Drosophila melanogaster: one gene and its partner. The protein of the gene in region 1 interacts with the protein of each later gene in a pairwise test. Each region holds a gene or a part of one and is shown in the gene's direction. Other genes may lie near its edges.

Evidence for each region. Proteins that work in one complex are often made in the same cells at the same time.
Region 2: the proteins of CG2617 (region 1) and CG14830 interact in a two-hybrid assay, tested with the Drosophila melanogaster proteins (one large-scale study listed by BioGRID).

What each region holds. Positions count from the first base shown.
Region 1 is NT_033779.5:20,680,779-20,684,141, forward strand, and holds CG2617 (uncharacterized protein), read left to right. Parts: upstream 1-1,589; 5' UTR 1,590-1,670; coding exon 1,671-2,495; 3' UTR 2,496-2,851; downstream 2,852-3,363. Other genes in the region: Cen (centrocortin), read right to left, coding at 1-714.
Region 2 is NT_037436.4:7,260,897-7,265,531, reverse strand, and holds the start of CG14830 (uncharacterized protein), read left to right. Parts: upstream 1-1,611; 5' UTR 1,612-1,789; exon of another isoform or gene 1,790-1,900; intron 1,901-2,436; 5' UTR 2,437-2,583; intron 2,584-4,635.

The sequences.
Region 1 (3,363 bases):
CTCCAGCTCGGTGCACCGCTGCTGTTCGGCCAAGAAGTCACGTTTTAACACCTCCATTTCGCTGAGCAGCTTTACCAATTCCTCGTTGTCTTCACCCTTAACGGCGGTCCTCTCGCACATGGTGGCATTACTGAAGGAGATATCCTCCAATCCTGTCGAGTTCGCTATGGCCATAACATCTAGTTTGGAGAACTCAACACTCTGCTCCTTGCACAGCGATTGAATGCTGTGACTGGACACAGAACCCTCGGTCGAATGCTGCATCCTATAGCGTTCCTGCTGGTACTGATCCACCTTCCGCCGCTCGGTGCTCAGGGATTGCCGAGCATCGCTCAGAAGTTGACTCAGTTCCTCGCAGCGGGCTTCCAGGACTTCCGTGTTGGTGGTCAGCGTCTTAATCTGCTTCTTGTCCCGATTCTTCTCCAGATTTAGCCGCTGATTGGCACGCTCCAGATCCTGAATGCCCACTTCCAGCTGCTCGTAGACCTTAAGCCGTGAATCATTCACCTCGGTCATCGCATTAATGTGCTTGCGCAGATGCAAGATCTCCAGTTCCTGCTCATCCCCCTTAATCTTGTACTCCTTGATGAAGGTTTCCAGCTCCTTATTGCGTTCCAGGAGCGTTTTTCCCAGCTCTGCTGCCAATTGTAGGTCATCGAGCATGAACTGCGATACGTTTTCACAGCCAGCCGAACCGTGATTGGATTCCTCCATCTTGGACTTGGACCTTTCTAAGCTTGGGCTTGATGCGAACTCTGGCGAAAATTTAAAGATTTAATCGATTTTAGTTCATTTAGCAGCAGAGCTTTGTGAGCAAAGCAAAACTCAAACAGTAATTACTTGGCAAATGTCCTCTCAATGGTGGAAAACTGCTACAACAGTAACTTTTTTACTGTTTCATCCCCAAAAACAAAAAGTATGGTATTGCAGCGAGTGCAGAAAAAGCCCTACGTACTAGGGCGCAACTGCATGTACGAATAGTTAATTAATGCTTTTTATTATACACAATCGACCTGCAGACAAAGAACCGAAATGAACTTCCTAGCAGAACCGGAAATAAATTTATAATAGGATTATTCGCATTAGGGGGATTCCTGCTCAGATAGGGCTATGATTTAAGCTCGCCTTTCTTATATAACCCCTCGCGAGTTGTTTGGGGAAACCTTGTTGGATTCTGAAATACCAGCAAAATGCACGGATGTATAATTATATTTTTGAGCTTTCATTGTCTTTGAAAGAAGCATGCAATATCATAATAGATCAGTACATGAATACCCATATTAATTATTACGCATATTTATAGTTGTCAAAATTAATAAATCCAAATTGTTATGTCTCCTTAGTAATTCCTTTGCTCACAGAAGCAAAATATTTGTTTGAACATTATTAATTTAAGTTACCCTAGAATTTGGCGTATTTAAAGTTCAGATACCATCTAAGTTTAAATATATCTAGGAAGTGCAACCGATAATGTGTGGGGTGTTAAAAATAAATATATATATTAATTATACAAATATTTAAGATAAGTAATTATTTGACGCTACCTTATCGCAACGATAGCTTGGCTTTAATTACCAACCACCGCCTGGTCACACTAAGCGGCCGGCGTTCTTGTTTTGATTTTGTGTTTCTTCCTTTTCTTAATTCGAGGACAGTATGAGCCCCCCGCCATGCTGGACGCTCTAATTCGGGCAGCGGAGCTTGTGGATCTGGTCCTGCTGCGTCCGCTGGCCAGCGTGATTGATGCAGTGATTACTGGCGTGTACTACTTCCTGTGGGGCAGCTACCTCGTCGGCTTCTGTTTGGTGGAGGGCAGCAGGAAAGGATGGAATCTGTTGAGATGCGCGGTCAGGAATATCAACGAGGGCATCCGCGACTTGGGCCTCATCACGCTAGATGTGGCGGACTACTTCTACGGCGGCACCAAAGGCGGGCTCAAGAATGTACTCGATTTTGGTCACTGCATATCCCGATTCATCTGCAACTTACTCATCGATCTGGGTGATGGCATCTTGTGGCTGCTGATGCTGCTGCCGAGGGCCATACTATTCCTCTGGGACTGCCTCCTAGACTTTGTGGTGCACTCAATCGTGGCCCATGGCTTGAGCTTGCTGAACAGTGCGTTCCGGGCCTCGATAGGATTGGCCCTGCTCCTCGTTCTCTATATGTTCCGCCGCTATGTGTACCTGATGCTCATCTACCTGCTGCAACGTGGACGCATTGAAATCTCGACGAAGACGCAAAGCGTTTACCTATGGACCCATCATAAATTGCAACACTTCATACACAATGTTTGGTATGTGTCAGAGAACGCAGGATCCGCGAGTCCAGAACGCTGTGTCGTGTGCATGGCTCAAAGCAGGAACGTAGTAGTCATGCCATGCCGGCACCTCTGCCTCTGCAAAGAGTGCTCCCTGCAGCTCGTGCTCCTTTTAGAAGACCGCTGTCCTGTCTGCAGGCACAACATTACGTCGTTCCTGTCAGTTTACGTTTGATATATAAGACTGCCAATTGGAATTTAACTTATAAGTAATTATGATTCTCAGAAGTTAACCAAATGTCTTTGGTTAAGACACTTGTAATAGAAAAAACAAATAATCTTTACAAAGCAGAACAGACAAAACATTTTAATGCAGCTTTCAATTCCCAGACACCTAAAATATCAAGTAAAACAAGTTAAATTGTTTTATGTATTTATTTCAAACCAATGAAAATATACGATTTGTTTTGTATACATTTATGTAAATACGGTTTGGTTTTGCGTATAACTAATTTGCTCAAAAGACAGATATAGAAAAAACGTTTGTTTTGGGCTTACATCGTTTAAGTATATATAATTAAAGATTAAATCGAAATGAAATGATTCGCTTTGCTTGTTATCGTATTGCAGAGTTAATTGAATTGCAAGTTATAGTTCTTCCATCATAACACTTATATGATTTGGGTTCTTAACTGGTAAATGAAACGATCAAATAAGAGTAAATTACACAACTGGCAATATAGCATTGGTAGTACCGATGTCTATCAGATAGACATTTGTGATAGCGTCTATAGGTTTCACCTCTCTTTCTGCTTTCTGCATTTCTAGTAGTAGGCGCATAAGTGGGCTGGATATACATAGCTAATGTACATACATAGCTTAGGTTATCTATTGTGTGGTTGGGGGTGTAGTGGGAAATAGCGCCCGATGTACCGATTGACGCTCTTATTACGAATAACATTATCTTGCGAAGGACGTCTAATTATGCTATATAAATTTAATTTGTGCCAATTTCTTCTGTTGCTTTTCAATTTGTTGTATAAAGCTTTATGCGCTGCATCTAGCTTAATTCTATCCGTTACATAGTAAAATATATATGTATG
Region 2 (4,635 bases), on another chromosome or scaffold:
GACACTCACGACTGAGAAATCTGTGCAGTTTTATGCAACTTTTATGACACCAGCCGAGGACGAAAAAACTTTTTACGACTTGCAGTGCCAAAGAACAAACACCAGACCTTCTCGAGCTGCGCCTGATGCGTAAAGTCAACAAAAAGTAACGAACGAACTACTACGAACTACTACTACCCTAAGGAACCGAGTGAGGGATTTAACAAAAAAAAAGTCCATCCACCTCTGCACACTGAATGTGTGTGCAAAAAAAAAAGTGCTGGCAGGAGAAAAACCTGAAATAGACAATGCACAAAGTATGCACAGGATCCTGTTCGTGTCAGAATCAAAGATATCCAACTTAGAACAGGACGACATTCGCTGTACGGAGCAAATAAAAAAATTAGTAAGGATTTGACACGCTGGAGATGGTGAACAAATATTTCACATATCTCTGTTTCAGAGGAAAGTTAAACAACTGCTGGTAAGTACACTTTTCAGTCCAGTTGGAAGCCATATTAAATGAAAATTAAATTTTTAAATAATATATACATTATTTATATTTTTTCAAATTATAATTGCAAAATAGAAAATAAACTAATGCTAACTGCGCAAACGGAAGTTGCACGAAAGTTGTTTGAAAATTTCGCGCAATATTTTCACACAAATGCATACAATGTACGAAAAATATGGCATGTAATATTTTTTTTTTACATGACTGACTATTTTGAATACCATTCAGCGTATAAATTGCAACCTTAAACGTTTACAGAGAGAGGGGGATGTGCGGGGAAAAGTGACCCAGAGAGTTGGGCCTCTGGCCCCATTATCGATGCCACTCATCCTAATGACATGATGCAAATTAAGCCCCCAACTTCTGCCGCCAGCCAACATGACCCCCAATGCTCCAGCCAGCAGTCAAAAGCATTGCACAGTCACGTGCGGCAGCTGGCCAACAGCGGTGCCTGTCAGCCAGTGGAGCCTAATGTAGTAAGCCCCCAATACAGTTCACCTCCCTGTAACCCCTGTAACGCTCCCTCACTACCACAACCAACACCAACTCCTCCCACCACCCACTTTACCTCCCGGTGCACTGAAAAAATATTCATAGGGAGATAATGTGACAAATTATAAGCAAGATGATTATATTTTATGTTAAAGTAAAAGTATCAAAGTCTATGATTTAAATAAAGATAAAAATAAAAAACATCTTTTAAATATTTTCTTATAAAACTAACCATAAGTTTACTTATCATACCACCACCAAAAAATTCTAAACTTCTATCTAAGAATTTCATAGAAAGAGAATCTTTCGTCACCTTTTTTTTCTCTGTGTGCGAATGCAGTGCACGTGTTGCAGAAGTTTCGGTTAACGGTTATTAAATGCAGTTTTTGCAGTTTGACAACAAAATGCAGTCGCCAAAAGTGCAAAGTGCAGATGGTGGAGACCGGCACGGCCAGGCCAAGAAAGCCACAGAGAGTGAGAGAGATGGGGAGAGTATAGTTGGGAAAGAGCCCGAAGAGTCGATAGTGAGGATTGAGTTGGCCAAGAGCGCAACCGGTTCGAGACGCGTTTTAGACCAGTTTAGACCACTCTCACAGGTGCTGGAACATTGTCGCAACTCTCGAGCGATCAGTTTGAGCCGTGATCGCAACGCGTTCGCTTCGATTTTTCCCACCGGACCACGGTGCATTTTGCAATCTCCGCGATTGCCAAACAAACAAAACAAAGTTTTACTCCAACGAAAAAAAAAAAAAAAAATCTGAGATAAATAACGCGCAGCAAAAGCAACTATTTTTAGCGGATTACGTGAGTGTCATTTGAATTTTTTCGACGTGAAGTATACGCCCGATCTGTTGGCGAGAAAAATAAGAAAAAGAAAAGAACAAACAGAGTGCTGGCCAAATTTGCTCGCCATCTGTATGTGTCTGTGTCTAAGCCAAAGTGTGTGCGAGTGTGTTTGTGTGTGTATTTGTGTGTTGGCCAGCTCCAAAACCTGCTGCTATTATTAGCCTTAGCCAAGATTATGGGCGATTTCATTATGGCGCTGCAATTTGCTGTGCCGCCGCAAAAAGCGAAACAAAAATGTAAAACAGTGCCTGGGCCAAGAAGATTTGAGCCGAGTTAGACGAGTTCCGATGTCTTGGCCATTGTGTTTAGGCCGCCTCGCACCGACCGATTCGAGCCAACTTGCGAGAAGCTGCAACGCCTTTCATTCATTCATTCATGGCGGCGCTGGCGATTATATCATTCCGTGTATTAATGTGTTGGCTGCCATTTTGGTCAGAACTAGTAAAGGTTTTTGGCCCACACACACACACACACGCGCACAAGCACATTTGCAAAGCGTCAGCGGCGACGATGTCATCGCCTTCATATTTCCAATTTACATTAATATTTTTCTCCACACAACCAAATCACATTGGCAATGTTTGTTTTCTCGATTTTCGGTGCAGCAGCAGCCAAGTGAAGTGTAATGAAATGTGTACAGCGGCCAAAAACTAACAACCTGTCGCATTGGCTGGCAAAAAGCGTTAACAATAAATAAGCGAAACAATACCAACAGCACGGCCAGTTCAACTGTATAACAATGAGGAGAGAAGGTAAGCCAGTTTTTGTATTTTTATTTATTTTGTAGCCCACAACCATGCCGCGGAATACATTCCCATATCTCTATATATGTATATATGTATATGAAGGGAAGTTGTGTGGATGCATAGACGAGAATACAGAGAGAAAAATCCAAGGACACATGTCTCATATCTAAATTAGATCATCTGAACATAAGCTAAACTCACTTGAGAATATAAATTACAATCAAATTAAAACGAAGTGCTTAAACTTTTAAGTGTGTTCAATACTACTACAATATGTTTAATGATTTCGTTTTTAAATGACTTAGGATCAAGCTGATTTATAACTAAATATTAAAATTCATCTAGTATTTTCATCTTATTGTAGTATTTTTCGGGCACATCAATTTTTCCAGTGCATGCTCAACTCGCTTATTTGCCAACAATTTGCTTTTTGGCGCAGTGTAATTGCATTTCGAGCATCTTAAGACTGCCATCCACCTTCAGTTTCAATTTCCGCAAAACGTTGAACCGAACTCAGCTTTTGCCTTTGCGTGGGTGGGTGATTCCATTGATTACGCACCGGTTGACCCTGAAAGTATCAGCCAAATGTTGGCTGGTACACTGGCCTTATATGAGCACGATTTTCGGTCTTTTGTCGTTCAGTTTGTTCGCCTTTCGATGGCCGCAGGAGGAGTGCTTATGTCATTTGTCAACGGACCAAAAATGATACTCGCTACCGAAATCCGTTGGAAATTCGAGTGAAAAGGCCACTCTTTGGTCATTTGGCAGCAAGACTGCAATCTGGGGAATTGCCTTTAGGCGATAGTGAGACCAGTACAAATGCCAATACCAAATGGATCAATGAGTGAAATTTAATGTGCTTATATGCATTTCATTTATTGCTTTCACTTTTCGCCCGAATGTGACAATCGTGATGGCAAAAGGCATATCGAGGAAATGCTTTGACATAAGCCCTTATCCAACCAGTATTATCATTAAGCTAGGAAAAGCGTTTTCAATGGGCTTATCTATATGGTGTATCTGCAGCTCCCATAGTTACCATAGTTCAGATATGAGAGTAAAAACCCCCCATGTAACTAACCCACTGTGCATAACAGAACTTGCTTTTGGTTTTGGTTTTGCTTGTTCAGTTGGTTGGATTTTTCTTCGGCACTATTTCTTCGTGTCTTCGCCGTTGGCCATGTTTATGCTTAAAAGCCAGCCATGCTTAGCACGCTGGCCATCCAATAAAAGTTGCAGCTAGAAATTCAAAACCAACGCCAGCGGCCAAGTGTTTCTAGTTTTTCTCTTAGCCCCCTTGTTTTTTTTTTTCTTTTGGTTTGATGACAATGTTTTGATAATAATGATAATTTTCTGTGTCTCTTATTGTGCTGGGGTTTTTTTTTCGTTTTTATTTTTTATTTTTGGTTTGGGGTCAACATGAAGTTATGAGTTTCGTGATTGCGCCGAATTCGGTAACAATTAGAGTTTTGGCAAAGATAGCTTTTCAGCTATCAGCTAAAAACCGATGCTCATGGTCAGCAGCGTAATTCGCAAGATACAGGGAAAGTTACGTAATCCTGCTGCGGCTGTTGCGGTTCAGCGCAGACAGGTTTTAAACGGCCAATTTGCAGCTGCACACGGTGCGTATACGTGTTAAGCGAGAAACTAGCGATTCATTGACTCCAAGCCACAGTAAAATTTAACCGAAGAGGGTATATACCCAAATGTATATATGCAAAATACTCATCAGAAAACACAAATCAATCAAAGCTAATCACTTTCGGCACGTTGGTTATATAAAGTCAAGTTACTATACACAAATATGCAAAAAAAAATAAATCAACTCCCAGCTTTCGCAGTCTTACTCATTTTTCGATGTTTGCGTGTGAATCGGAAAGACAACTAAAAACTGAACCTAAAAACCAAACCAACTATTATGCAGGTACGAATTATCCAACCAACTGCAACTTTCATCTGACATTTGAGGCGACTGCATGCAATTGAAATCTGCAAACCAACAGATGACTTGGTGATGGTGATGTCATCATCACATATATGTAATTAATGTCTCGTGTT